Linked DNA regions of Rhinolophus ferrumequinum. The protein of the gene in region 1 binds, or shares a complex with, the protein of each later gene. Links are inferred from orthologs where the notes say so. Each region holds a gene or a part of one and is shown in the gene's direction. Other genes may lie near its edges.

Evidence for each region.
Region 2: the proteins of GNAS (region 1) and GPR21 are in contact, whole or in part, in a cryo-EM structure (PDB 8HMV), measured with the Homo sapiens proteins. The link is inferred for Rhinolophus ferrumequinum from reciprocal best matches to the Homo sapiens genes GNAS and GPR21. Residues at the interface, in NP_000507.1 of Homo sapiens: Gln35, Arg38, His41, Val217, Pro321, Asp323, Arg342, Asp343, Leu346, Arg347, Thr350, Tyr358, Cys359, Pro361, Phe376, Cys379, Arg380, Asp381, Ile383, Gln384, Arg385, His387, Leu388, Gln390, Tyr391, Glu392, Leu393, Leu394; in NP_005285.1 of Homo sapiens: His61, His62, Thr64, Arg127, Ala130, Ile131, Thr132, Pro134, Leu135, Thr136, Tyr137, Asn138, Thr142, Pro143, Ile214, Ile217, Cys218, His221, Thr222, Asp224, Ile225, Arg228, Gln229, Arg231, Phe232, Arg249, Tyr250, Val253, Leu254, Asn308.
Region 3: the proteins of GNAS (region 1) and HTR6 are in contact, whole or in part, in a cryo-EM structure (PDB 7YS6), measured with the Homo sapiens proteins. The link is inferred for Rhinolophus ferrumequinum from reciprocal best matches to the Homo sapiens genes GNAS and HTR6. Residues at the interface, in NP_000507.1 of Homo sapiens: Arg38, Ala39, His41, Asp215, Lys216, Val217, Phe219, Leu346, Thr350, Tyr358, Cys359, Phe376, Arg380, Asp381, Ile383, Gln384, Arg385, His387, Leu388, Arg389, Gln390, Tyr391, Glu392, Leu393, Leu394; in NP_000862.1 of Homo sapiens: Arg124, Leu127, Ile128, Pro131, Leu132, Arg133, Lys135, Leu136, Ile211, Gln218, Gln221, Val222, Leu225, Thr226, Lys265, Ala266, Thr269, Leu270, Phe323, Met324, Arg325, Asp326, Lys328.
Region 4: the proteins of GNAS (region 1) and GPR3 are in contact, whole or in part, in a cryo-EM structure (PDB 9LYB), measured with the Homo sapiens proteins. The link is inferred for Rhinolophus ferrumequinum from reciprocal best matches to the Homo sapiens genes GNAS and GPR3. Residues at the interface, in NP_000507.1 of Homo sapiens: Gln35, Arg38, Ala39, His41, Val217, Phe219, Asp323, Asp343, Leu346, Thr350, Tyr358, Cys359, Phe376, Cys379, Arg380, Asp381, Ile383, Gln384, Arg385, Met386, His387, Leu388, Gln390, Tyr391, Glu392, Leu393, Leu394; in NP_005272.1 of Homo sapiens: Met75, Arg134, Ser137, Leu138, Tyr139, Ala141, Leu142, Tyr144, Tyr145, Glu147, Ile216, Ile219, Val220, Arg222, His223, Gln226, Ile227, Leu229, Gln230, Arg231, His232, Lys244, Gly245, Thr248, Arg300.

What each region holds. Positions count from the first base shown.
Region 1 is NC_046306.1:3,450,976-3,458,727, reverse strand, and holds the start of GNAS (guanine nucleotide-binding protein G(s) subunit alpha isoforms XLas), read left to right. Parts: upstream 1-4,733; coding exon 4,734-6,612; intron 6,613-6,831; coding exon 6,832-6,951; intron 6,952-7,752. UniProt on the Homo sapiens protein: Guanine nucleotide-binding proteins (G proteins) function as transducers in numerous signaling pathways controlled by G protein-coupled receptors (GPCRs).
Region 2 is NC_046295.1:73,154,912-73,161,957, forward strand, and holds the start of GPR21 (probable G-protein coupled receptor 21), read left to right. Parts: upstream 1-4,041; 5' UTR 4,042-4,302; intron 4,303-4,738; 5' UTR 4,739-5,102; coding exon 5,103-6,152; 3' UTR 6,153-7,046. UniProt on the Homo sapiens protein: Orphan receptor.
Region 3 is NC_046292.1:13,238,970-13,246,121, forward strand, and holds the start of HTR6 (5-hydroxytryptamine receptor 6), read left to right. Parts: upstream 1-4,137; 5' UTR 4,138-4,210; coding exon 4,211-4,924; intron 4,925-7,152. UniProt on the Homo sapiens protein: G-protein coupled receptor for 5-hydroxytryptamine (serotonin), a biogenic hormone that functions as a neurotransmitter, a hormone and a mitogen. Also has a high affinity for tricyclic psychotropic drugs.
Region 4 is NC_046292.1:18,762,282-18,769,285, forward strand, and holds the start of GPR3 (G-protein coupled receptor 3), read left to right. Parts: upstream 1-3,990; 5' UTR 3,991-4,100; intron 4,101-5,174; 5' UTR 5,175-5,179; coding exon 5,180-6,172; 3' UTR 6,173-7,004. Other genes in the region: CD164L2 (CD164 sialomucin-like 2 protein), read right to left, coding at 2,869-3,012, 3,591-3,603. UniProt on the Homo sapiens protein: Constitutively active G-protein coupled receptor that maintains high 3'-5'-cyclic adenosine monophosphate (cAMP) levels that a plays a role in serveral processes including meiotic arrest in oocytes or neuronal development via activation of numerous intracellular signaling pathways.

The sequences.
Region 1 (7,752 bases):
AGAAAACCACCCAGAATTGGAAATCGGTGCTTAACGTACTTGGCTACTATAAAACTACAACGGCAGATCCTAGAAACTATGTCCCTAGCGGGGTTAGACCCGGCCTAGGCTGCCCACAGCCACTCATCCCCAGCCAAGTCCATCTGTCTTAGGCCAACAAGATCACCAGCCCTGAGCGGGCTCCCCAGGCAGGCCCCCCAATCAGAGTGGCCCCAGCAGCCCACCAGCTGATCAACCCCAGCTCTTACCATGCCAGATTCCTTGAGTCCCGTGGCCAGGCCACCCAGCTGCCTTTCTGGTTAATCAGCTCCTCAAACATCTGGCCATGCTCAGGGGGTCTCTAAAGTCGCACTGCTGATCTGCGGTGGAGTTTCACTCACCCAAGAGATTTGGGGTTCTCAGATTCTGGGGGGCCAGTCACTGCAGAAAAAATAAACAGAAGCAGACAAAAGGACCATCAGAGTTAAGTACTGGAATTTTTTCTTCTGGTCCTAATTTACCTTTAAATTAAGGTGATTCCTACTCAAGTCTACAGGGTCCTTCCTCAGACTATAGCAGTGGTTTCAACTGGGGGGCGATTTTGCCCCCCAGAGGACATATGGCAAAGTCTAGCGACATTTTTGGTTGCTACAACTAAGGGGATGCTACTGGCATCTAGTGGGTAGAAGCTAGGGATGCTGCTAAGCATCCTACAGTGCACAGGCAGTCACACTAAAGCATCACCTGTCCCCAAGGTCAGCAGTGCAGAGGCTAAGGAAGCTCCTTTAAGACGAGATCTGCTGACCGATTCTTAAATTCTTCCCTCTGGTCTGAGCCTATGGGTCTCTTCCTAGCCCCACTGCTCTCTTCTGTGATGTCCTCTCTAGTACCCCCAAGTGTTCAAGATTCTGTCACCAAATCTGTTTCTCCCCTTGAGGGTGTTTCTCATCCAACGATTTCATCTTAATGAGGATGACCGTCACTTTGATCTTGGGGTTGTCATCTTTCTTCTGAACTTCAGACCCATCCTAAGTAACAGGCTGTAAAGCTCTCCATCCAGACTGCCCATCCTTCCTTCACCTCTGCCATGTCTAAAACCAAATGGCTCCGCCACCATGCCAACTCCTCCCCAGATCCTCCCACACGTGTCCCATCACCCAGGTGCCAAATTCTGTCTCCTCCACTTTTTGTGCCATTTTAGCACAGAAGTTGCTAGAGGGTCCTTTAGGATCCCTCGAGCCCCTCTCTTCGGCCTTCCTGCTTCCTTTACTATGTGTGGTTCTCCCTCCCTTAAAGGTTATGACCAGCCACAGCCCCTTTTTTTCTCATCAGGACCATCCTCCATACTGCCTTAACCTCTCCTAAAACTAGCCTCAAATTCTCACCTGCAGGTGTTGAAAAACCATCAACACCTCCATTTCCAACATAAATAGCCTCAAAACTTGTTGTTCTGATATGCCATAGTATTCTTGGAGAGATCCTATCCAATTTTTCATGACTTCTCTCCCACTGGTCCTCCAAGACCTGACACAGTGTCCTATTCTCTTTACCCAGCTCTGTTTCCTAGCATCTTCGTTCATGGTCAGCCAACATCTCCTATCCCCGCCACGTTCTATTCATAGCCAAACCTTCTGTCCCTCCATGGAGGCACATTTGAAATGCCACTTTCTCCATCAAGACTTTCAAGATCCCCCCAACTGGAGGTCTTTCATTCTATGTTGCTTACCCTTTAGAATGGAGGGTTGGTATCTATCTGCCCAGTCTTAACTCCCCTCAATGCATGTGCTCTCCTGGCAAAGAACCAAGATACCAGAAAGTGTGTGTTGGACAAAGGGGTCCCACAGGCCTACGGGGATGTCAGAGACCCGGTACCCGTTCATTGAACAACAGTGCTTTGGGAAAGAGCCCCAGTGAAGTGGGCCAAGCGCGAGGCCTGGCGAGAGCAAACCGTCCCTTTGGGGCCCCCATCACGGCCTCCCTGGGGCTCCAACCCCAACGTCTACTGACCTTCCACTTCGGCAGAGCTCAGCATCCCTGGGGCCTCAACTCCTTATCCATCTGGGGCTGCTCGTCTGCCTCGGAGCAGTAAGCCCCCTCTTTCTTCAGGGTCCTGGCCCTCTATCTCCAGGCCCTGGAAAGCCTCCTTGCCCCGGCGGCGGTCCCGGGTATTGGGTGTGTTTGCCCACCGCCATCAGTGAGACCCTGGGTTGGCCCCTAAGAACCCTCAATTATCTTTCCAGCATTTGTGAGTTTTGGAGTCAGGAAGAGTGACCGCCCGGCGCCAGCCGGCCTCGTGGCGTCCCACGCTTGGCCGCCATACGCCGGCCCACCGACCGCTTCCAACTACCCCAGCAGCACAATCTCTTAGGACGTTCTAACGCGGCGCCCCCTATTGGACCTCCCACTCATATCCGGTTTCCGGTCCGACGCCCCCTGCTCATTCGCCAGGCAGCATTGATTGGCGTGACCCCAACCCAATGGCTGACCCAGTGCTGGGGTCGGAGGGGAGTGAATTGACTGAGGAGACCCAGTTGGCCCATTCAGTGGATGCCCAAATGGTTGAGCCGTTACGCGTGGGTATAGTTGGCCAAAGTTTGAACTAAAGTTCAGTGTTGGCATTTGGAAGTGTGTAGGTCCAAAGAGCTGAGGTGATACACCTTTGAGGGACCTCAAACGTTACCCAGGGTCCAACTTTGTCAGTTTTTCTCTGTGCAGCGCGGCAACACGGTTGGCAGACGCGGGGGCAGTGCTGCGCTGTGGATGTGGTCTCGTTCTGAAAGAGACGTGTTACACTTAATGAGATTGGATCATGCGTGGTTCACCCGCCTGCGGCTCGTAGATACAGCGATCCAGGCGGTGTGCCTCGCTTGCCGCAGCCCATCCACTGGTACACTCATCCGCCGGGCTGCCCGCCCGTAAGCCAGGTGTCCACCTGCCCCTGCCCAGCTGCCTCGCGCCTAAAGGTGGCTCTCAGGTCTGTGTCACCTGCTGGCGAGACAGACCTGATACCCATGTCCCGGGTTTTACGTGATCCGCAAGCAGCAAAATTTTCCTGGGCTCAAATCCTACTGCAGACCCCAGAGCCAGAGCAGTGCGCGCGCACGCGTCAAGCCCACCCAGGTAGTGTGGGTATTTACCCCCACTAGCTCTGAGCCCACCACGCGCTACGGAGACGGGAGCGCAGCAGGGCGGCCGCTGGGTTTTTAGCAGAGCTTAGTGCCACCTCGGCGGGCTACAGCAGTTGGAAAGTAAAGCGGCTGCCTCGGGAGACTCATAGCGAGAGAAGAGGGGCTGGGAGGGGGCTAGAGAGGAGCTAACGGAAGGAACAAACTGATCGACCCTGCAGCCGGCGCCCGAGGCAGGAAACAGCGCACCGCGGCCGCGGTTGCTGGCACAGCACGGCACAGCAGGGCACGATGTGTCTTTGGGTTCAGTGCGCAAATGGTTGACCAGTCTCTGAGACCACTCTAAATCAGCCATTAACCCCAACTGAAATCTCCTTTAACCCTGCCCCAGAGCAGTAGGAGCCCCGGAACTCTGAGGCCTGCACTCTGTGGGGTCCCCATGCGCATCCCGCGCCCCCCCCCCCCCGTTATGTGCCGCGGTGGCTACCAATTAGAGGGTCTCCGTGGTATGCGCCCGAGACCCTCTATTTCCCTGAATCATCGTCCACGTAAATCGGGAGAATCCAGCCTGCGCCATTCAAAGCTCCTGCGAAGACCCCCCCTCCTCCCCCCAGAGCATGGTGGGTACGGGGGACATTGAAGTGCTTTACAGGAGCCAACCTCGGCAAGCCGGAAAACAAAAGCTGCAGAAGCGATGGAAAGTACACTAAGGCATTTAGAACACCAATTGTGTGCGCACACGGCATCACCTCGCCCCTCGCCTCCTGTCCTCTCTGAAAGTGGGCTCACGACCACCTGTCGCATCCTCGTGCATGCTGACACCCCTTTCCCATGCGCCCAAAGCTTTGCGCTCTGGATTTGGGGCTCAGGATCGAAGGCTGCCCAAGGCTGGGGGCTGCGGCTCAGGTGTTCAGGGGTAACTTGGGGTGAGGAAAACATCATGCAATTCCCCCTCCCCCAAGGAGAGTCAGTTGGGTCTGGGAGGGAGGGTTTCAGCTCCTGCGCTCAAGCAGCCCGGGGCCCACGTCTTGCGTCACGTGTCCCGCAACGCAGGAGAAGGCTCTCTCTCTGGCCAGGGGAGAAGAGAGGAGAAAGACTCCAAATCAGTCAGGGAGAGCAGTGGAAAGAGCCAAAACGTCCCAGCGGGGCCTGAGCTCAACAGCCCCCTTACCCAAAGTCCGGGGCTCCCGGCGCCAGGAACCGGCTCCCAGAGCCGCCTGGCCACCAGCCGGCGTCCCCTGGTGGCAGAAAGAGAGCACTACGAGCGATTTTCGGACCGAATCGACACGCTCCTCAGATCCAAGCAGGCGGGGCTGGCCTGGAACACAGAGAGAGAAAGAGAGAGAGGAGGGGACAAGGGCAGGCCAAGGGGGGGCCAGGGGCTGCCTGAGGGGATAAAAAGTGGCCAAGAAGAAGCCAACACTCCACCAGCAACAATAGAGTTGCTTCTGCCACAGTCTAAGGTTTGAGGCCCTGAACCCCTAGACCTCAGGAGGGTTGGAAAGTGAGGTTGGAGAACTTTCTGGCTGGTACTTTGATTTTTTTTTAAGATATTTTTTTCACCCTAGTTCGGTTGGGTGCTCCGTCTTACGGGGCCCCAAGTTTATTTTAAGAGTTCGCCACCGTGTTATGGGCGTGTGCAACTGCCTCGACGGCAATAATATGTCAGGACAACGCGATATCCCCCTTGAACTCGGGGAGCAGTCCGAGCAACCATCTTTGGAGGCCCCAGGGGCAGCTGCCCCCAGTGCTGGGCCTAGCGCAGCCGAAGAGATGGAGACCCAACCGCCTAACAGCGAGCCCGTCCCCATCGAGATTGAAGGCGAGGCATGTGGACCCCCAGAGGTCTCCAGGCCCAACCTCCAAGGCCTCGGCCAGGCCATCGAGGAAGCCGGAGCCCATGGAGGCTACAGCCCACCTCCTGAGGAAGCCATGCCCTTCGAGGTCAAGCAGCCCAGCTTGGGAAGCTTCTGGCCTACCCTGGAGCAGCCTGGAGACACCAGTGGGGCCCATGCAGGCCTCGAGGCTTTCAACTCAGCGCTCGTGGAGCCCAGAGCCTTCTGTGAGGCCAGGCCAGGCCTGGGAAGCTACAGCCCTCCACCCGAAGAAGCCATGCCCTTTGAGTTTGAGCAACCTGCCCAGGGAGATTGCTGCCAACCTCTCCTGCAGGTCTCAGACCTCGCTCCAGGAGGCCCAGGTGTGGGGGTCCACAGCACCCCTTCTGAGGAGCCCCAAGCCCTCAGGCCTGCGAATGCAGGCTTCAGAGGAGGCTGCAGCCCTCCCCCTGAGGAGGCTATGCCATTTGAGTTTGATGGAGCAGCCTTTGGGGACGACAGCCCACCCCCTGGGCTCCCCCGAGCTATCCTACAAATCGACGGCGGTAGCAGCAGCCAGTTCACGGGAGTTGCGGTGCCGAGTGCGGTCCTCCTCGCTCCCGCCACGAGCGAGCCCCCCCTCTGGGTCCCAGGCGCCATCGCCATCGGCAGCCCATCCCGAGAAGCTGTCAGACCTCCTCCGCACTTCGCTGGCGACAGCCCCCCGATGGAGATCCCCGGACCCCCGCTCGAGATTGGTAGCGCCCCCGTTGGGGTCGACGACGCTCCCGTCAACATGGACAGCCCCCCAATCGCGCTTGATGGCCCGCCCATCGAGGTCTCCCGAGCCCCAGTTAAGAGAGAGCGAGCAGAGGGAGAGAGACCCCCAGTTGAGGGAGAAGCAGCCGAGATGGAAGGAAGCTCAACCGCTGCTGCTGCGGACGGAGGCCAAGTCCCCTCTCCGGGCGACGGAGCTCCTGCCACTGGGGACGCTCCAGCCGCCCCTGCCTCTGCTGCCACCGGGGCCGCTCCAGCCGCCCCTGACGCGCCAGACGCCGGGACAGCCCCAGCCGCTCCAACCGCCGGGACAGCCCCAGCCGCTCCAGCCGCCTCTGACGCGCCAGCCACCGGGGCAGCCCCTGCCGCCCCAGCCGCTCCTGCTGCCCGGGCAGCCCCTGCGGCCCCTGCCTCCGGAGCCCGCCCCAAGCTCCGTTTCCTTAGACCCCCCAGCCCCGAGATCCAGGCTGCCGATCCGCCTACTCCGCAGCCTCCTCGCGCGTATGCCTGGCGGGGCAGGTCTGAGCGCAGCCGCGGCCGCGACGACGACGAGGGGTCGGTCAGCAGCGACGACCGCAGCAGCGATGAATCCGACGATGGGACCTTCGGATGCCATCGCTGCGTGCAGCCCCGGAGAAATCGCCGCCGCCGAAAGCCCCGGCGCAACTTGCTCCGCAACTTCCTCATGCAAGCCTTCGGGGGCTGCTTCGGCCGATCTGAGAGCGCCGAGCCCAAAGCCCCACGCAGCCCCAAGGTCAAGAAGATTCCTCTGGCGGAGAAGCGCAGACAGATCCGCAAGGAAGCCCTGGAGCAGCGTGCTCAGAAGCGCGCAGAGAAGAAACGCAGCAAGCTCATCGACAAGCAACTACAGGACGAAAAGATGGGTTACATGTGTACGCACCGCCTGCTGCTTCTAGGTAATGCGGCGGACTCTGCCCGCGGGCAGCAGGGCCGCCGGGGAACCCGGGAGGGGGTGGCAGGGCTGCCCGGTGGGGCTCGGGCCTGGCGGCGGGAGGAGGGGGTCTGGGCAAAGGCGGGAATAGCCTGCTAGAAAGTTCCAGTGAGGGGCCCTAACTCTGCCCCGGGAGGGGGGTGGGCTCGGGTGGGCTTGGGTGGCCGAAGTATGTGCCCTCCAGGGAGAAAAGTGGTGCCGTACAACACTGAGGGTCGTTTCCAGCTGGACAAGCCAGCGCCAGCGACCGTAAGACGACCCCGAGTCCTGGGGTGGGGGCCGGCAAGGAAGGCGGGGGCTTCAGGTGAGCCAGGAACTACCGGGGAGGGGCCTCGGGGCTCCCCAGGCTAGGCTTGTTGGGGCCGTGGTGGGCTGGGGTCGTGGGGAAGGTGCGCCCCGCCTCGCCTCGCCTGGCACGGCTGCTTGGACTCAGACAGCTTGTTGGTGTGTGTTGGTGTCCATATTGTGTCCGCCTGTGCATGATATGCTCAAGTGTCTCCCAGTTCCCATCCCTGGCACCCCCAAATTACCCGCCGACTGTGTACTTGTACTGGGGAATGGGCTGTCTTGTGTTGTGCGCCATGGCGCGGGCAAAAACTTTCCGTGTTCGCATACTCTGGTGGTTCCTGTGAGCTGGCGCTCTGCAGCGGGCGGCGCGAAAAATGCGGAGAAAAGGTGGTGGGACATCGGGGTAATATGTTGGGCAACTGGCTGGGGGGAGAGGGGGCCGCTTCCCGCTGGCCTCCATAACCTTTTTTTCTGTATGTCTTTCTCTCTTTTTTCCCGTTGCGCTAAGCGTTTCCTCACTTCTCATTCGTTCGCCAAACTCTCCCGCCTTTACGGTTGAAAAACCAGACACTCAGGTATCTGGGGCGTCCCGGGCTGCACACACGAGTTCGGTATTCTGCACACATTCGGCTCACCTGGTGGGGGGGATGGAGGGATGAGGGGGAAAAAACGCATAACCTGCAGTAAAGCAAGTCTGGATCCAAAAACCACGCCAGGCTTGTTCCGAGGGGGTGGGCGTGGCTATGTTTTTAAAACATGAAATAATTTTTTTCCTAGGGAAGAGCCCGAGGTAAGCCAATCATTTACACTTTTACCC
Region 2 (7,046 bases), on another chromosome or scaffold:
TGGTTACTGGAGTTATAATGGAGTAAGATTAATCACAGTGAAACCTGTTAGAAATTCAGGCAAGAGGTGATGGTGACTTGGATTGAAATAGTGGCAAAAGGGATAAAGAAAGAGATACTATTTGAGAGAAATTTCAGAGGTAGAACCCTTGTTACTTGGTAGTTGAATGAATATGGTAGGTGAGGGAGAGGGAAGAATAAAAGATGAGTCAAAGAACCTCAAATTGGTTTTGGAATGATATTGCTAAAAATACATTCCCATCACCTGCACTAAAATAATGCTAATTAAATCAACATTAAAAGCTCACTTTTACTAAATAATAAGTGACAGAGAATGCTCAGAAGTGAATCTTATGGATCTGAAGAACTGAAATTGACCCTTTCTCATGTATAATATAGTTAAGCCACCGAATAGGGAGACAGATAAACATAATTTGATGTCTTTTCCCTTTTTTATTTCATGTTTCCTTTCTCTTTCTGCCTTATTTAATACCTTTTTAGTTCTGTCATTGTGTTATTTTAATTTTTTAGTATTGGGTTGAACCATATGTGTAAAAGTTGCCATTTTTATAAATTAGAAAGTATTTAACCAGAAAAGCAATGGTTAAATATTGGCAATTTCACGTTTCATCCAGTTGCATTTTTATTCTCTAAGAATTTGGGGACTCCCTGTCACAAAGACTGCCTTCCGTTCTCTAAGAATTTTTAACTGAGGCTCTGAGGGGTCATTTTGAGTTAAGTTGAGTACCAGTGACTATATGAAGGAATGTTGCTGTGATGGCATAGGGACAAGTGGAACTGAGCCCCGTTACGTAGGTGACTTAACCTGCCAGCATCCATTCAGTGCATGATGAGAGAACATCTTGTGGCCAGTTTTTTATTTTGTTAGCTTAACCCAAAGGGACATATTTTATATTATTTTGGCTGGTTTTTGAAAACTTGATCAAATAATGCATAGAAATAGTACATAGAATTTGGCAAATTCATAAAATATAGAAAGTCATAAAGAACAAAATAAAAAAATCACTTGTAATCCCACTATCCAGTGAAAAGTAGTTGAAGTTTAATGTATTTCCTTCCAGTCGTATATACACATATATGCAGAAATAGTTACTCTGTCTTTACTTAAAAAAAAATAAGTGTGTGTGTGTGTGTGTGTGTGTGTGTGTGTGTGTGTGTGTCATGAGACTTCATTATTTTATAAAGGAAATGGATGTATAGATTTTGGTGGGGACATAAATTTATTGTCCCCCCATGTCATGAATAATTTGTCTCTTCTGAAGAAAATGTTTTTATTTTTTTTTTCTATTAGGGAATATTGGGGAACAGTGTGTTTCTCCAGGGCCCATCAACTCCAAGTCATTGTTCTTCAATCTAGTTGAGTCCAGTCACCATTTTCAATCTTTAGTTGCAGGGGGCACAGCCTACCATCCCATGCGGGAATTGAACCGGCATACTTGTTGAGAGCTCGCCTTCTAACCAACTGAGCCATCTGGTCGCCCCAAGAAAAATGTTTTTCTTTAATTTAATATAAAACATTTAACTCTTGACTGGCTTGATAAAGTGTGGCTATCAGGCTATTTTTTTTAAAGTTTCCTATATGAATATTTTGATCAAAGCTCCAAGAGTGGTTTTATTGAAATAGAAACAAAGTCGGAAGAACTATTGTTGAACTAATAATAGTAAATGTAACAACTTGCAGTTTTACTGCATTTTTATTGCATTTTAATTATTTCAAGTTATCAGCCAATGTAATGTGGTTTAATTAGCATAACTGTTTTGTTTTCTTATGAGAAACCTGAGGTGTACAGATGAGTTACACGCCCCAATTCACAAGGAGTTGGAAAAGCCTGGACTCCTAACTTTGGCGAATGCTTTTTCCTCTTACTGAAATAATCACTCTCAGAAATAATTTCTTTTTTTTTTTCAGTTCAATATTTACTAAGCACTCAAAAAATGCAAATTCAAAAATAAAGTCTATGCAAATGTATAGAATAGTGAGTAACGTGGTTTGGCTGGAGGACAAGGTGTGTGGGGGGCTATAGAATAGTGGTACCAGATTGGAAAGGCAATAGGGAGCCATAGACTTCTTCTACACTGGAGTACCATGCTTAATAAAGTACGTGCTACTGGTACTCAGTCAGGCAGAAACGGATTAGAAAGTGAATAAGCCAAGCCGATATTGAATGATGGCCTAAAATAAGGTATTCAAAACTGAAAGAGGAAGTGAATTTGAGAGCTGCTGTAGAAATAGTTTCCCAGGACTTGGTGACTAAGAACAGTACATCTAGGGAGAGAGTGGTCAAGATGATTCCTAAGTTTCTTTCCTGAGTGCCTGGGGAAATGTTGGGAAAAACAGGAGAGGCTTATTTGGTGGAGAAAATGTGTTTAATTTTGGGTGCTGCGGTTGAAGTCTCTACAGGACATCCAGGTGGAAAATGTGTGACCGGCAAGCAAATTGTAGATGGAAAGGGGAGTTCATGGGTGAAGTCAGGGCTGGAGACACAGGCTGACTAATTATTTGTGTAGAGGGAATAATTGATGCCATATCATCCCTACCTTCACTAGCCTTCGTGTATTTGAGGAATGCATGACAGTAAAATATCTAAATAATTGTTGTATGCCTTAGAACTGGGCAGTCACAAATAAGAGAGGGCACTTTAGGATTCAGAGGAGCCCTGCCTCAAGCAATGCAACATGATTGGTAGGAAAACAAGTTGTTTTAATTGTATGAGAAGAAAGTGAGTAAAGTTGTATCCTCCCTATGTGCTAAGTATTGCTAAGCCTTTTGTACAGACTGTCTCCTCTATTTCTTAATAACCTCATGAAATAGGCAGTTATGACCCTCATTTCTCAGATGGTGAAACTAGGGCTGAGAGAGGCTAAGTAATTTTAGAGCAAAGATTTGAATCACGTGGGAGTTCAATGCCATGGGTCTTTTTACTGTGCCACACTTTGCTGTGTTTTCTAGTAATACCTGTCAAATATGGCTATCAAACTTATACTCAATAGGTTTTTGAGTTTCTTGCCTTTGTGTGATGAACATAGTGCTTCAGATCTTAAAATGCAGTTAATGGGAATTCTGATTATGGGTGGCCATTTGCCTGCAATGAGAAAGCATGTGTATGAAACAAATAAAAAACAAAAGTTGGATCACATAACATATATCTCCACCCAGGTTTGTAGACATTCTGCAATACTTACAAATACCAGCATTTGTTTATTTTCTTTTACTCTGCTGGGTCGGGGGAACTTTATTTAGAAGGATGAATTGAGAGTCCAGTGACACCTAGAGGAAAAGATAACTGAAAATACACATTTTCTAATTAGCTGAAAATTGTCATCATTTATGGCATTACCAGAAGAGCAGACAGTATTATTCCAGTTTGCATTGTTATTAAGTAGGCACAAACAAGATTGTGTATTCTGAGATACATTCAAGCCCGGTGGAAATGGGCACCTTCACTTTTCCATTTTTTGTTTATATGTTTGCTTCTCAGCAAACTAGAAACCAGAAGTGGCATCTCAAAAATATAGGATAGTATTAAATACCGAAGCAATGTAATTCCTCTTTTCTCTATGTGTACTATTTCTGCAGTATTCAAAATAGGTGAAATTTTCTTTATATTTCTCTTGAAAAACTGATTTTTAAGTTTGCTTTGGTATTTTGGTCATCTTTCTTAATATTGGCCAATATCCAGTGGATCATGAGAGAAAATTAATGCTGAATATTTAGCCTTTCTAGCTAGAACTTCTTGTGCGGCTGAATTCCGATCCCTCACTTGCCATGCATTGTTAACATTGTTCTTTGTTCCTTGGGAAAATGCAACAAGAAAATAGGAATTTCCTTTCACCATTACCCCTCTGGCAGTGTGTTTCAATCTAATTCCTAGCTGGCACTCTGTCCCAGTTACTACCCCTTCTCCTTACTAGCAGTCTGAATTCTTAAAAAGGGGATTCCAGACAGACGAGGAAACAGCTTTCAAACACTGCACTGCAGGCGTATTAAGTTATTCCCCCACTGTGCAGTCTGGAAGTCGGGGAGTGCCTCTCTGTGATGAATTCTAATGAGCTACTAAGGGTGCCCGAGTGTGTGCGCGGACAGGCTTTTTCTTTCCCCTCCCCCTGCGTCTTCCTTTTCCCAAGCCCCCTCGTCTCCCTGTTTCCCCTCCTACTCCTTTATCCCCTCCCTCTGTGTCTCAGTTCTGCAGTAAACGGGGCTGAGGCACATTCCTGCTTTGCAAGGCTTTCTGTTAAGGATGTTCTGTCGCTTTTGTTTGGATTGCAGCATGCAGAATTACAGGTAACACTCTGAAATTTAGCTAGACAGACAAATGCTGTTGAAATGTTTTCAAAGAGGCAAAATATTACATGGGAATCGATGAAAATAAGTTATTTTAGCTAATTTTATTAGTAGTAACTATGGTAAAATGTTTTCAGAAACGCTATAAGCAGATTCCTTTTCTACCCCAAAGGCTCCAGTGAAAGGAAAAGAGGGGTCGATTGATCTGACTGTGATTGATTTTGTTTTATGTTGATCATGAAAGCTTGCTGGTGCTGTGCCACCTCTGTAGAGTAAGGACCAGTTATGTGGGGTGCTACTGAGGGGAGCCATGAATAGTTGTACTGAGTGGGCTGGGATGGAGTGGCAGGAGTGATAGCAGCCTGAGCTAGCCAGAGTCTTTGATTCTTGCATTGGGATGCAGAATATAAAACGCTCTCTCCTTTTCTTCTATCAGCTGTTCAGAGGAGACTCATTACTGCAGCAGTTCCTAATCCTCCTCCCTTCTCCTCTGCCCCTGCCCCTACCCTCACTGGCCTGAAGACCTTGTGCCCAGAATTTGACTTGCTTCCCTGGCACTATGTGTCTGGTAAACTTGACACTATGGCCGTGTCTGGGACTGGCTATACAACTGCTGCTGGCTCTGCCTCTTCCAAGGAAGTAAAGGGGGATTGCGCTGCAGGCAACGCACCAGAGCAGCAGCATCGCGAGCCTGGGCGTTATTACAAACAGAGCTGACCGCAATGACAGCCGCTGCTCCTTTGAACTGTTGGCAGCAGCCAAGCGGCAGCATGAAGTGAGAGATCACTCCTGAGCTCAAGATGAACTCCACCTTGGATGGTAATCAGAGCAGCCGCCCTTTTTGCCTCTTGGCATTTGGCTATTCAGAAACTGTCAATTTTTGCCTTTTGGAAGTGTTGATTATTGTCTTTCTGACTGTATTGATTATTTCTGGCAACATCATCGTGATTTTTGTGTTTCACTGTGCACCTTTGTTAAACCACCACACTACAAGTTATTTTATCCAGACTATGGCATATGCTGACCTTTTGGTTGGAGTCAGCTGCCTGGTCCCTTCCTTATCGCTCCTCCACTACCCTCTCCCGGTGGAGGAGTCCTTGACTTGCCAGGTGTTTGGTTTTGTAGTATCGGTTCTGAAGAGTGTCTCTATGACCTCTCTGGCCTGTATCAGCATCGATAGATACATTGCCATCACCAAACCTTTAACCTATAACACCCTGGTCACACCCTGGAGACTACGCCTGTGTATTTTCCTGATTTGGCTGTATTCCGCCTTGGTCTTCCTGCCTTCCTTTTTCCACTGGGGCAAACCTGGATATCATGGAGATGTGTTTCGGTGGTGTGCGGAGGCCTGGCACACCGACCCCCACTTCACCCTGTTCATCGTCATGATGTCATATGCCCCCGCAGCCCTCATTGTCTGCTTCACCTACTTCAACATCTTCCGCATCTGTCAGCAGCACACAAAGGAAATCAGCGAAAGGCAAGCCCGGTTCAGCAGCCAGAGTGGGGAGACTGGGGAGGTGCAGGCCTGTCCCGATAAGCGCTACGCCATGGTCCTATTCCGGATCACTAGTGTGTTTTATATCCTCTGGTTGCCATACATCATCTACTTCTTGTTGGAGAGCTCCACTGGCCACAGCAACCGCTTCGCATCCTTCTTCACCACCTGGCTTGCTATTAGTAACAGTTTCTGCAACTGTGTCATTTATAGTCTCTCCAACAGTGTCTTCCAAAGGGGACTGAAACGTCTCTCGGGGGCCATGTGTATTTCTTGTGCAAGTCAGACTATAACTAAGGACCCATACACAGTTAGGAGCAAAGGCCCCCCTAATGGATGCCATGTCTGAAGTGGTTCAGATACTGGGTCAGTGTGTGTGTGTGTGTGTGTGTGTGTGTGTGTGTGTGTGTGTGTGTGTGTGTGTCCATCCTTTTTATCTGTCTTCCTGTTCACTAGAAAATCTGGAATAAAATAATTGACTCTAAGCAATAGCAAACAAATGACCCATCCAAAAAGCCTTCTAAGTTTGCAGAAATGATTTTCTAAGAAGAGCTTTTGAATGAGAAGAATCAGGACCATGAAGATAAATTGCTCTTGGTTCCAATTTTTGTAATGTCATGGAAATGACTACAGTTCTCAGATTTAAAATGAATAAAGCCATATCCAACACCTCTCTCCAGCTGGCATGACTGAACCTGAGTGTGAAAAGCGTCAGCATTTTAAAAAGTCATCGTTTTCTTGTTGCTTTTCTGGGTTCTTTCCAGTTGTGTGGGCTTCAAATGCAATTGATTTAACAGGGACGATTAAAATACAGTGATGAATTAATTAACAGGGTTTTTAAATTTTATTTATGTATGCCAAAGTGTAACTACACTGCAAGTTTCAGCACTGTCATTTAGGAAACCAAATGTTTTATGTCTTATTCTCTTGAGAGAAGTCTCAATACAGTGAATAATGTGGACACTTAAAACGTTAATTTTAGAATTTTGCAATGAACCATGATACAAAAGTACAGTCAAATATTAGACAATTTATGAGAAACCAAGCTTCTTTTTGTGCTATGCTTCATGGAGATTTAAAGAAATGTGTGCATAGAAAATGATTCTGTTACAGTATTTTTACCCGTGCCTTTGTGTATGTGTGTGTTGAGAATATTTTAATTGAGACAGATTTCTCTTTTACAGCAAAATGTACACTTAACTAGTTCATTTTTAAAATAGAGATTGAGGTCTTCTCTTGTGGT
Region 3 (7,152 bases), on another chromosome or scaffold:
TCCTCTATGTACTGACAGAAATGGAGGCCTGGGGCAGAGGACTTCCTAAGACTCAGCTGTCCCATTGTGTCACCACCCTTCTCCTCTAGGGAGAGAACAGCCTGTAGCTAGAAGTAAGCAAGCAAAGGCCAACCATCCTTGATGGTCCCTCTCTACCTTGAAATGTTAAGGAAGTCTAGGACATTATCAATCCATGACAGAAAAGATAAATTTAGGTCCACACGGGACTTCAGAAAAGTTCTTAAACTCAAGATAATAGTGTGGCCACAAGGTGGCACCACTCCCCAGGCCAATGATTTTGGGGAAAAATTATTTTTTAATTATATAGTAAAATATAGATCATAATGTAACAAACATCAGTGAGTCTATCACCCAGAATGAACAAACATTAACATTTTTGTCTTGTCTTCTTTAGGTCTTAAAAAAAATAAAGGCTATCAAACTTGACAGCAAAAGTTAAAGCAGAGGGACTAATATTCTATCCCACTATATACCACCAATTTTTCAAAACTAAACTTTTTTTTAATTAAAGTTTATTGGGGTGACAATTGTTAGTAAAATTACATAGATTTCAGGTGTACATTTCTGTATGACATCATCTATAAACTATATTGTGTGTTCACCACCCAGATTCAGTTCTCCTTCCATCACCATATATTTGATCCCCCTTACCCTCATCTCCCACCCCCCAGCCCCATTACCCTCTGGTAACCACTAAACTATTGTCTGTGTCTATGAGTTTTTGTTTCTCATTTGTTTGTCTTGTTCTTTTGTTGTTTTTGATTTATATACCACATATCAGTGAAATCATATGGTTCTCTGCTTTTTCTGTCTGACTTATTTTGCTTAGTATTATAATCTCAAGATCCATCCATGTTGTCACAAATGGTTCAAAACTAAAATTTATCAGGCAGCTCCTCTGTGTGAAATGGTTTAAATACTCATTCTAGTCACATCTTCATTACTCTAGTTTTTTATAGTAGTAGAGAACTTAAGAGGCTTTGCCAAGTGCATAGAGCGAGGAGCAGAATCTGGGTTATGAACTCAGGTCACTGGGCTCCAAAGTACACGGCACCTCTCGGGTTTGCTGTTGTTCAACCAGGAATCCCTGCGTTACAGGAATTTCCACAGAGCTGAATGCATTCCCATTGTACAGATGGGAACACTGAGGCCAACAGCTAGTAATAACACAGCACTGTGAAGTTTACAGATTACACCAAGGTCATTTCATCCCCTCAACAACCCTGTGAGATGGGTGCTTGTGGGGACAGAGTCCCAGAGAGCAGTTTCCAGGCTCTCGGCCTCACGTGGAAAGATGCTGGCTTGGGTAGTAGATGGCCATCAGCTGTGACTAGTTGGCCATCAGCTGTTACCGGTTAGCCATTAGCCATTGATATAATTGCCGTGGCTACGTTGGTGGGTTGGTTGGCAGAGAAGCGGCCGGCAGATTGTGCATCGTGTGGCTCCTGCTTCCTGTGTCTCCACCAGCCGCCAGCGAGAATATAGTGGTATGACTCCCCTATCTATGGCTCCGTGGGTGTTCCTTTCTGGCCTCACCATATCCTGTGTTCTGGTGCTCGGAGCGGGAGCAGAGTCCCTGCAGTGCTGTATTGTTCTGCTAACTATTGCATATGAGAAAATGGTGACCCAGGGAGATCGAGGGGCTGGTCCTAAGTCCACTGAGCTGGTAAGCAGCAGAAAGGGGATCCCAAGTGTGGTCTTTAGGATTTTCAGCCCGAGCTTGGTATACTACACGCGGTTCCTTGGGGCACAACAGAAATTGTCATGGTGGTGCAGGTGGTATTAGAAGGGACAATAGGTTCCACTTTCTGCTGCACAGACCCATTTGTGGGCAAGACTGGGGCTCTGAGAGTCAAATATTGGCTCGGGTGGGTGAGGGGTGCTGTAGGGTCTTGAGATTTCTCTGCCTTGGGTGTTGGGTAGACCCAAGTTTCAGTTCCACTTGATCACTTGCTGCTGGTGACCTTGGGTGAGACCCTTGGCCTCGCTGAGCCCCAGTTTAACACCTATCTCTCAGCATTATTGTAGAGGTTAGAATAATATAATAAAGCCCCTGGGACACATAGCAGGACCCTTCTATGTGGGAGCTGTAGGGGTTCAGAACAAGTTGCCCCAAGATGTGCCTCTGTGGCACCCAGATTCTTTCGAGCTAAAGGCAATTGAAACTCTGTGGGCTCAAGAGAAACTTGTAAAGAGTTTAAATTTGGAGCCTTGCCCATAATAAGAGTTATTACCAGAAATAACCTTTTTTGACCTATCTATATGGCAGGGCAAACATCTAATTACTGAGCACTTGTTCTTATTCATCTGCAATGACCCTTCTCCATCCTGAAGCCTCAGGACCCTACCCTCATCCTTAGCTCAGGATGTCATATATAGTTCATTTACTAAGCATCTATTATGCTTGGTGTTTATTGTCTGCCTCCTTCTACTAGAATGTAAATTCCATGAAGCTGGAATCTCTGTTTAGGTTCCTATAGTGTCCCAATTGGTCAAAACAGTGCCTGACACTTAGTAGGTGCTCAATAAATGTTTGTTGAATGAATGGATGGAATTTACAATATTAATCTGTGAAGTGTTCAGTAGAGACTCTTCTTAGCCAGGGGAAGGGATACACAGCCAGCTCACAGCCAGGGATGCCTCACCCCACCCCTTTACCTGCAGTGCTTCTACCCCACCAGGCCTGGGGTTTCTCAAATCGGTTCATGCTCTGTTAAACTGGGAGTACCAACAGGTCAGAAATTTCATCCTTAGGGCCTGGTGCTGTCGGGAGATGGTTTTGCTCAGAAGACCCTGAGGAAGTAACCTGCTGTTTAAAGGTTTGAAGAAAGTATCATACAGTTTATTATAGATGATATGTATACATATATTATATATTATATGTACATATGTGTATGTATGTGTGTGTACACATATGGCTGTCAAGCTATCTGCCCAATTTCTCCCAATTGGCTCCCCCTGTTAATGTGGTGAACCCCGTGGTGGGTGGGCAGCCCCACATTGGGGGGGCAGTTCTGGATAAAGATAGGTCACAGCCCCCTCCTCTAAGTTCCTCCTGCGCTGCCGCTGCCACTTGTGGGTTGGGGATGCGTATGTGGGGCCGTGGAGGTGACCACAGGCGGGACGTTACCTGGTGCTGCTGGGGCACTCTGACCGAATCGTCCCTCCACAGGCCTGGGGTCCTGGGACCCCGCCTACCTGCGAGGCGGGGGCTCGGCTCTCCCCGCCCACCACCGGGCGGGGCGCAAGCTCCTCCGCGCGGGGACCGCGCACTCCTGGCAGCGTCTGCCGGCTCCTCCTCGCGCGCTCCGGCCCCTAGCGGAGCCTCCCGTGCTCCCTGGGCGCCTGCCTCCCCTCCCCCGCGGCCGCCTCTTCCTCTCTCAGCCCCGCGGCACCTGCCGCAGTCGCCGGCGGCGGAGCAGCGCTGAGCGCCCCAGGTACCAAACGCCGGCGGTAGCGGGCCCGCGACGCGGTGGCCGGGTGGGGAGGGGGCGGAGGCGCTGTCGCTGCTCCTTCAGTCCCCACCGGCCCGCACGGCGTCCCCTCACACGCCACAGGGGATCTTGTTCGCCCAATCCCAGGGGTGCCTCTGCATTGGCTGTGAGATCTGCCTTCCCCGCCGGGGGCTTAGCTCTGGCCCGTGGGCCGCCACCCTGCGACCCCAAGCACTACGGCTCCGGACCTAGCGCCCCCACACGCCTACCTGCCGCGGGAGAGCTTGCCTCCCATTTGCCGGTTGTTCCCACTTCCCTGGGTCTTTGCCCCAGGCAGGCGCCCTCGCTCCAACCTTACCGCCCCTTCTAGGGGCTCTGCTTCCACGCATCTAACCTCCAAGAGTCCTCTGGCGTCCCCATCCTCCTGACTTTCTGCTCGCTCCCGCTAAGGCACCCTGCTCCTCCTCAAGTGCCCTCTCCCAAACTTCCTACCCATTTGACCCAGGTGTACCTGCCCCACACCCGAGAACGCCCATAGATAACCTCTCTCCATCCTCTTCCAGTCGCTGCCCGTTGACCCATCGCCCTGTTCCTCTCTTCCCACCTGCCCCCCTTGCGGGGCGGGGCGGGGGGGTTCTGTTCTCACTGACAACGCCCCGCCAGCCTCCACTCTTCCAGGTCCCTCACTGTGGCTTCTCGCCGGTCCTCAGGACCCGTCTCGGGCCTCCCCGCCCTGCAGTCCATCCCCCGTCCCCATGGTTCCAGAGCCTGGCCCTGCCCACAATAGCACCCCCGACTGGGGGTCGGGGCTGGCGTCGGACCCGGCGGGCAGCGGCTGGGTAGCAGCTGCGCTATGTGTGGTTATCGCACTGACGGCGGTGGCCAACTCGCTGCTCATAGCGCTTATCTGCACGCAGCGGGCGCTGCGCAACATGTCCAACTTCTTCCTGGTGTCGCTCTTCACGTCGGACCTGATGGTGGGGCTGGTGGTGATGCCGCCGGCCATGCTGAACGCGCTGTACGGGCGCTGGGTGCTGGCGCGTGACCTCTGCCTGCTCTGGGCCGCCTTCGACGTGATGTGCTGCAGCGCTTCCATCCTCAACCTCTGCCTCATCAGCCTGGACCGCTATCTGCTCATCCTCTCGCCGCTGCGCTACAAGTTGCGCATGACGCCCCCACGCGCCCTGGCGCTCGTCCTGAGCGCCTGGAGCCTTGCAGCGCTCGCCTCCTTCCTGCCCCTGCTGCTGGGCTGGCACAAGCTGGGCCGCGCGCGAGCACCCGCCCCGGGTCAGTGCCGCCTGCTGGCCAGCCTGCCCTTCGTCCTAGTGGCATCAGGCCTCACCTTCTTCCTGCCCTCAGGCGCTATCTGCTTCACCTACTGCAGGATCCTGCTGGCCGCCCGCAAGCAGGCCTTGCAGGTGGCCTCTCTCACCACTGGCATGGCCGGCCAGGCCTTGGAGCCGCCGCAGGTACCTGGGGTGCGCAGGGAGACCAGGGCTTGTGGGATGGAGAGGAATGAGCCGCCATTTGGTGCTTATGGGGCATCCACCACTTCATACACACTTGCTGGCCACCTCCAAGTGGCCATTCTCTGCTCCCACCTTTCTTCTGAACTCCAGACTCTGCCCGACTGTCTACAGACAGCCCCCCCAGGATGTGAGGGAGGCTTCTGGAAGGTAACATGCAACAGGGAATTCAGGGTATCCCAAGTCTCCCACATGTTCCTCCCCTGTCTTCCCCAGGATGGCAAATGGCACCATCATACCATCGCACACCGGAAACTTAGGGATAATTTTTCTCCCTCGTGCTCATGGGATTCATTAGTGAGACCTGTTGCTGCTGCCTCCTAAACAGTTGCCACCTTCCTAATCCAAACCACCATTGAGGTCCCGCTGGCTCCCGCTGCTTCCACTCCAGACCTACCCCCATCCATTTTCTGCACAAGAGCCATAGCAATAATGAAAAAAGTGACCACGTCACTCCCTTGCTTCAAACCCTTCAGTGGCTCCCCATTGCTGTCAAGATAAAGAGGAGACCCGGGTCAGGACCCCACCCTGCCAGCCTCTTCCACTGCACCTCTCGCCCCTGCCTCTCGGCACCAGCCATGTGGTCCTTCTGACGGTTCCTAGCAAGCACCAGACTGACTTCCCTGTCAATGTCTTTGCACTTGCTGTTCCCTCTGCCTGGAATGTTTCCCCCCCAGAGCTGCCCTTGTCTGACCTTTTCAGCTCACAGATCACCTCTCCCTAGAGGCCATCCCTGACCACTGTGTCTGCAGACCCCCCGCCCTCCCCCACTCTGTCATTCCCTAGCTGGATCCCCAGTTTATTTGTTGACTTGTTCATGGTCTGTCTCCCCCACTTTAATGTAAACTCCACGAGGGCCGGTGTCCTTGTGAAGGGGGTAGGTGTCCTTCGCTCAAGGCCCTGCAGTGTCTAGAAGGGGAGCACTTGCTCTTGTCACCCAGGCCGCACAGTCCCAAGTCCTATTATCTACCTGAGGGATGGGGGTTGAGACAGACCAGGCCTGAGTCCCAGAGAACTAGGACACAAGCCCAGTTCCAGCTGGGCTCTCGAGGTTTACCTTGGTTAGCCTCAGGTGGAGGAGGCTCCTGCAGGACGGAAGGGTGTCTTGTGGGTCCCTGGGTCTCGTGGGTCCCTGGGATGGGAACTGGCCGAGGGCTGAAAGGCTTGTCCGCAGTCTTGTTTATTCCATCCTAGTGCTGCGGCTGGCCGATCAATGAGGGCGGGGCCCTGGGGGGCTGGACGTCCTGGCTGCAGGCCTGCTCTCGCCCATCTTCTGTGTTCACTGGAGAACATTCTTGAATCTCGGCAGGTGGCTATGACTGATTTGGTTCTTTAGCTGTAGGATGGTTGCCATGGGCTATCCCCACTCTCTCCTTGGATTCTTGTAAAGGAGCATTTCCCAAACTTCAGGCAAAAGGAACCACCTTGGGATATCTGGCTTACTATTCCCTCCACCCAGCGCCCCGCCCCCACTCCTCAAGCCACTTCATTCATAAGTACTCAGCATTTTCTTTAAATCATCTCATTTATCTTTCCACTGCCAGGGATTTATTTAGAAAGAAAACTTCTCTCCTCCGGAAATGGAAAATCAATATCTTTGCCATAAATAGAAGGTGATCAGACACAGCTTCGGTGAGGGTGCAGAACCCAGCAGTGTTATTGAAGTCCAGCTTGGATCGCTGAAGTGACCGAGCCGAGGCCTGCTTCCTCTCTGTTAAGTGTTAGGACAGATGTTAAAGATGAAATTGCATCTCTGTGAGACTTCCTCATGATGTAACCAGAATAGCTGGATGAGAACTGTCACTGGGACCCAGTTATTTTACGGGGTGTCCACTTACCACCTAGAGTCATCTCCCATCCCACACTGTAGGGAGCGCTGCGTAGTGAGTAAGGATGGGAGAAACAGGCTGGCCTCGGTGAGGTTGGGGCAGAAGAAGTCTGGATTCTCCATTCCAGCGGGGCCGGTGACACACAGATGTTCTTTCCATGAAGCTAATTAGCTGGTACCAGGATTGAACCTGAACCTGTAGTCTCAGAACCTGGGCAAGAGTCCTCCAGCTGCTCACTGCTCCAGCCTGATAGTCTCTGAGGTCTCACCACGTGCCAGGCACCTAGCTGAGCTAATCCCCAAACACCCAACGAGACAAGTACTACCACCATCCTTGTTTGAC
Region 4 (7,004 bases), on another chromosome or scaffold:
CATCATGAAACCTCCTTTTTCCTTCAAACATGTATCAGATTACTCATTCATGTCCTAGGCTGTAAGTTCCATGAAGGCAGAAACCATGTTTATCTTCTTCCATACTTAACTCCCTGTACACATAAGGGCTAAGTAGGTGTGTATTAAATAATCATACTGTACCATGTTGTGACTGTGTACATGTTTGTCCATCCCACTGGTCTGTGAGATCCTCAAGAGCTCCCTACTCTATCATATTAAGTATCTATTTGTCGATTGTTCTCTCCCCCATCAGAATGGAAGCTCCATGAAGAAGGCAGGGATTTTTGTTCATTGCTGTATCTTCTGCGCCTAGAACAATGCCTGTCAAATGGTAGATGTTCAATAAGTATTTATTGAATGTTGACAATGCAAGGATGTGGCCAGATCATCTCTCTGTCCATAGCACCCACTTCAACCCAAGCCCAGGGAAACTGTCAGTGAATATTGGCTGAATGAATGAATGGGGCTTTGCTAAGAAAGTGTGCAATGACGATGCCCAGATTCTCGGGGCTTGGACAAGGAGCTTGTGTGGGTCTTATCTGTGTCCCTCACACACAAACCTCCCTTGAGAGCCTAGGCCCATGGGATTCCCTAGAAGAGAGAGAGAGAGAAGAGAGAAGGAAAGAAGTCATACCTGGAAGTGAATGCTCACAGCCATCTGGTGGACACCTGGGGAACTGCAGGTATTGTCAGCCTTAGTCAAATGTCACTCCCAGCCCCTTCTGGGGAGATGGTGACATCTAGGCTAGAATAGAAGGCACACTGGACTTGGTTACAGATAGACCTGGCTTCAGATCCCAGCTCTGTCATGTACTGTGTGATTTGGGGCAATTCATTCGGCTTCTCTGGGCTTCACCTATGAAATGGGGATGAATGGGTTGTTGTAAGCCCTGAGGTTTGGCACCAGGTAGGAGGGAAGGATAGGAGAAGGTGTCAATGGTGCGAACAAACAAGAAGGTAGGGCAGAGGGCATGAGGAGGAGAGAAGAAGAGAAAGGGCTGCCCCTTTCTCTAGACAGCAGATCTGTGGGGAAGAGAGACCTGGTTGGCAGTGACAACTTCCAGTGTCCTGTTGGCATGGGCAGTTTTTGAGCACGAGAGAGAGTGTGCACATGAAAATCTATAGCTCTCTTGAATCTATTGGATCTAAAGGTTTCTCAGGGTTGGAATGTCACTGTACTCTTCCTCCCTGGTTGCCTGAAGATTGACCTCCATCACGAATCACCCAGGAACTATCTGGATCAGGAGTTCTGGCCAACCAACTATTTCCATGGAAACATGGTCATCAATGTCCTTCTCTCTGGAAAGGCAACAGTACGTAAGACAGAAATTTGGTGAAAAATAACCAAAATGTACAAAACCACACCAGATATCATCTTCATATTTGGAATTAGAACCCATTTTGGTGCTGGTAAAACGACTGACTTTGACATAAATTATGATTCCTTGGATCATGCAAATTAAAATGAACCCAAACACAAGCTCGGCCTCCAAGAGATGAAAAAGATCTCAAAAAGAATGTGAGAACAGAATGAAGGTCAGGATGATGGCAAAGGCCAATGTTGGTGCAAAAAGAAATGAAGATTCTGCAATGACTTCATCTGTGGTAATTGTGCCGATTTTTCATGAGAGGATTAATAACATGAAAAATTTAAAAAAAGAACTATCACTGCCACTCAGACTAGCAGAAGATAGTTTCTTATACACCTCTTTCATGCCCACCTCCCAGCAGCCTTCATTTATCTCTAAGACCCACTGGACAGTTGTTGGGACCCAGCTCTGATGGGGGAGAAAGTGGAGACCTGAACACCCCTGTATTCTCTCTCTTTGATGACCCCACCTTCCTTGACACCTAACATACTACTACTTGTTTTCCTTCTCTTTCTCTAGATGCTGCTTGTTAGTTTAATTTTTTTATCCAGTCAACAAATACTTGTTGAACACCTACTACATACTATGTGCTGAAAGAGAGTGCTAATCTAGGATAGAGGTCAGGGAAGCCTGCTTCAGAACAAGTGACTTGGGTGCAAAGACCTTAACGACAGGGCTCAAAGCAGAGGCAACAGCCAGTGCAAAGGCCCGGGAATAGGAGCACTCTCATCCACAGTCTGTCCCCTTAATGGGGGTGTTCCCAGAGGCTCCTCCTCACTCCCTGAGGCTCCTGTTCCCTCCCCTGGGTGATGTCACTTACCCTAGAACCCCAGTTACTGCCTGCATACCTATGCCTCCTGGCTGTCCTTCTCCTGTCAGATATACTGTTGGTAGCCTCCCGCCAGTGCCAGGCCCCTCCCGACAATCCTATAAGGTAGATACTAACGTTACCCCTATCTTATTGGTGAGAAAATAGGCACAAAGAACCTAATATACTCACCCAAAGTCACACAGCTAGGAAATGGAGGAATTGGGGATCGAATCCAGTCTACGCTCCTGACCACCTCCATCGGCTAAGCACCCCAAACTCCAACCTGATGTGTAGAGATCATCTTCTCTACGTTGGCCCTCTTTTCTTCCCAAGTACTCTGCCACCCGCCTGTCACCTCTTTCCCCCGGCCCCACACTAACTGTGGGAACTGCAGTGGTGCTGTGTTGGGGGAGAAGTGAGTGGGGCCTAGGATCTGAGCCCCCCCCCCCCGGTTTCCTCAAGTCCTAACCTGATCCCTGGCCCCCACCCCCATTCCTTGGGCCTGGATGATTCCAACAAGGATCAAAGCTAGAGACAGAGGGAGGAGGAGCAGCCAGCTCCCCTTCCCCAGGACTGGCCATGTCTGTCACATCTGGAGATGCAGGGGGATTCTCTGGGACTAAGGACAGAGCTGGGGGAAGATGGAGCTCTTTCTCCATGCCCTACCTGCCAGGATGCCCGAGATGGGAAGTTGAGAGGGGCCTGCCCTGGAACTGAGCTGCCAGGCTTTCTGCTTCCAAGTTCTTCCCAGCTTCCGATCTCCAGCTGCTTCGGGGAAGTACCCCCTCCACCCTGCTGGCTTTCCAGATCCTTGAATAAATAATTCATGTTTTGACATTTTGCCAGGCCCAACCCCTCCCATGCTGTGAGGGTGCTATTGGGCTGACATGAGTGATGTCACCCAGCTTCTTATCCCAGCCCCAGCATCACGAGGACCTGTTCTGGCAGCAACTTACCTGCCTGATCACTGTCAGTCCAAACTGCTCTGTCTCACTCATCCGGTGCCCACTCACCACAGTCACCTGGTAACTTCCTTCCAGGACCCTACAGCCCTCATCACTTAAGTAACTTGTCACCTCAGTACGTACGTCAGCTCTTGTGACACGGTCATGGTGACACAAAGTCCCATCACCTGCACACTCCATCTTCCCTTGCCATCCTCTCTGCCACCCTGTGATCTCTGAACCCCATCATGCCACAGAGTCACCCTGACACTGCTATAGTTGCTCTAGGGGCTTCCCTCTGTATGACAGCGTCCTTCAGCCACCATCCCCCAAGATCCAGTCACCATGCTCATACCGTCACTGCCACCCACCTCCATGCTCCCTCGTACTCCTGTCACCGTCACCTCAGGGCCCCATCTTCTTGACAACCTCAGTCATCCTCACCGGGGACGCCCATTCAACCCCATCACATGGTCTCAGTCTCCTGAATTTCGTCAGCCTGTCTCTGCCTCCAAGGGTCCCATCACCCCACTGCCTATCCGGGTCCCCTTCCTGCTACCTCGCTACACCTTCTGCATCCTCTCTGAGACTTTTCCAAGGCTCTCCCACCTGCGCCCCCGAAACCCCTGGCCCGCAGAGGGCGCCGCGTCAAGGACAGGGCGGGCCGAGTCGGGAGGGGCGGAGCCGCGGCTACGGTCGCTTTTTATGAATGGGGGAGCGGGCGGTGCGAGGCCTTATTACTAAGCCTCTCGACGCGCGCTGCGTCCCAGCGCGACGTGCCCATTGGTTAACCGAGCCTCTGACGTCACCGAACCGGTGGCCGGGGGCGGGGCGGGGTGACTCACGCCGCTTCTCCCGCGGCCGCGGGGGCTTCTCCGGGTCCGCTCACACCCTGAGCTGCCCGGACCCGAGTGGAACCTTCCCGCGCGGCCCGGCCGCGCCCGGTCCCAAGAGGTGAGTAGCGGTCCCCGCCTCGGGCACTAGGCGTCCGGAAGGGCACGTAGAATGCTGGGGCGCAGGGCCAGCGGTCAGGCTCCCAGCGGCGGGCCAGGGTCGGAGGTCAATAGCTGGAACCCAGATTCTGGGCTAGCAGGCGGGGACCCAGGTCTGGGTGCTGACCGCATCAGTGGGGTGACCCAGCGGAGGTGGAGCAGTCCTTCAGAGACCCAGGGCTCTGGAGGGGCTGACGGTCATCCGAGGTTGGGCTGGCAGGAGACGGCTGGAACGGACCCAGGCGTCCGAGCTGGAGGAGGTGTCTGACTTAGGGATACAGACATCCCGGCAGGAGGCGGAGTCAGGCCCAAGATTCAGGTATCCGGGCCGAAGGAGGGGTCTGACTTAGGGTTCCAGGCTTCTAGCAGGAGGTGTCTATTCCAAAGACCCAGAGGTTCAGACAGAAAGAGGATCTGGCCGGGGACAGAAGTCTGGGCGGGTGTGTGTTGGGGGTGCTGAGTTCCCAGGTGTTGTTACCCCAGGAGTGCAGGGTGGGGGCGGGCGGGAGCTTCACGCGCACTCCCTGGGGGCGGAGCCTGAGGCTGGCATTGCTGACAATCGTGCGGGGTCTGGCGAGCCTCAGAAACTGAGCATCCTCCTCCCGGATGGGTATGGAGCAGAGCTGCTCTCAGTTCTAAGATGTGTTTCCCTTCCTCAGTCCTGGCCTTTCCCAGCATCTCCTGGATCTTACAGGCCTCCATCCACTTATGTTAGTCCTTCATCTTGTTCTCCTCTTGTCACACACGTGAGAGAAAGAGGCCTACAGGACCCAGAGAGTTGGAAGGGAGATGAAGAGTCCCACCGAGGACAGGAATCCCCAGGAAAAGAGACCTGAGCTTTTCTTTGGGCATGAGAGAGGACAAAGGTATCCTGGAAGGAGCCCTGGAGCATGCGTGCAGGATAAGGCATCAGGACCCAGCCAAGTATCTTGAGGAGAGACTCCCACCAAGTATCCAGAGAGGGACCTCAGCCCCTACAGATCCCTCTGCCCAGCACCCAGCCCTGCCAGCTTCTCATAGGGTCTTTCTCCTACAGATACCATGATGTGGGGTGCAGGCAGCCCCCTGGCTTGGCTCTCTGCTGGCCCAGGGAACGTGAATATGAGCAGCGTGGGTTCAGCAGAGGGACCCACAGGACCAGCTGCACCTCTTCCTTCACCCAGAGCCTGGGATGTGGTGCTGTGCATCTCAGGCACCCTGGTGTCCTGCGAGAACGCACTGGTGGTGGCCATCATTGTGGGCACTCCTGCCTTCCGTGCCCCCATGTTCCTGCTGGTGGGCAGCCTGGCTGTTGCAGACCTGCTGGCAGGCCTGGGCCTCGTCCTGCACTTTGCTGCTGTCTTCTGCATTGGCTCCGCAGAGATGAGCCTGGTGCTGGTTGGCGTCCTGGCGATGGCCTTTACTGCCAGCATTGGCAGCCTACTGGCCATCACTGTAGATCGGTACCTTTCTCTGTACAATGCCCTCACCTACTACTCAGAGACAACGGTGACGCGGACCTATGTGATGCTGGCCCTCGTGTGGGGGGCTGCGCTGGGCCTGGGGCTGCTGCCTGTGCTGGCTTGGAACTGCCTGGACTCCCAGGCCACGTGCGGCGTGGTATATCCACTCTCCAAGAACCATCTGGTGATCCTGGCCATTGCCTTCTTCATGGTGTTTGGCATCATGCTGCAGCTCTATGCCCAGATCTGCCGCATCGTCTGCCGCCATGCCCAGCAGATTGCCCTCCAGCGGCACCTGCTGCCTGCCTCCCACTACGTGGCCACCCGCAAGGGCATTGCCACACTGGCTGTGGTGCTTGGCGCCTTTGCTGCCTGCTGGCTGCCCTTCACCGTCTACTGCCTGCTGGGCGATGCCTATTCCTCACCCCTCTACACCTATCTCACTCTGCTCCCCGCCACCTACAACTCCATGATCAACCCCATCATCTACGCCTTCCGCAACCAGGACGTGCAGAAGGTGCTGTGGGCCATCTGCTGTTCCTGTTCCTCTTCCAAGATCCCCTTCCGATCCCGTTCCCCCAGTGACGTCTAGTCACTTCACACCCTGGTGACCAGGATGTTAGGTCCTCCAGGGTTTTGTTCTAAGCCCCCAGCTCCACACCCCAAAGACCCAGCTGGTTCTGGGTGTTTCACAGGATTCTCTTCAGATCCCTGCAGGGCCCAGCTGGCTCTATGGTTCTAGAATGTTCAAGTGGTCAGGGTTCCACTCAGAAATGTCCCACAGCCCAGCTGGTTTGGAGTTCCAGAACACTGCTGGCTGTTTTACAGTGCCATTCCAAGTCCCTGGTCTTCCCCCTCCCTTGAACTTGACCATGTCACCTGACTTTTGAGTTTCTGAGCTAGAGTCAGAGAGGTTAGCCACTCAGTTCCCTAGACAGGGGAAAGAGAAAAAGATTTATCTATATCTATATATGTATATATGTGCACTTACAAAGAGAGTATCTAGTTATGATTTATCTATTTATTTATTTATGGGTATGAGGGGAAAAAAAGAGACCCCCACCTTGAAATCCAGGCCATACCAGGGTATCCCCAGTCCCCACACCCACATTTCTGACCTCAGTTCCTAGAGGGGGGAAAGGGAGAAAGAGAAATCATGTATTTTGTTATTATTTTTGCTTATTTTTTATTGAAGAGATCATAGAAACCAGAGCCTTCTCCCTAGGCCTGCCCCTCTAGGGTTTCAGTGGGGGAACACACCAGCCTCTGGTTTTTTATTTTTTTAAGAAGCCATCACCTGAGCAACCGAGAATTCCTCTGCGCTGGGGGCTGGCTGCCCTCTGGTGGCGGTTTGGGGGAAACTGCAGCCTGGCCAGGCAGCCAGGACCAAGACGTGGCAACCCCAACTCCACTCCAGCCTGGCA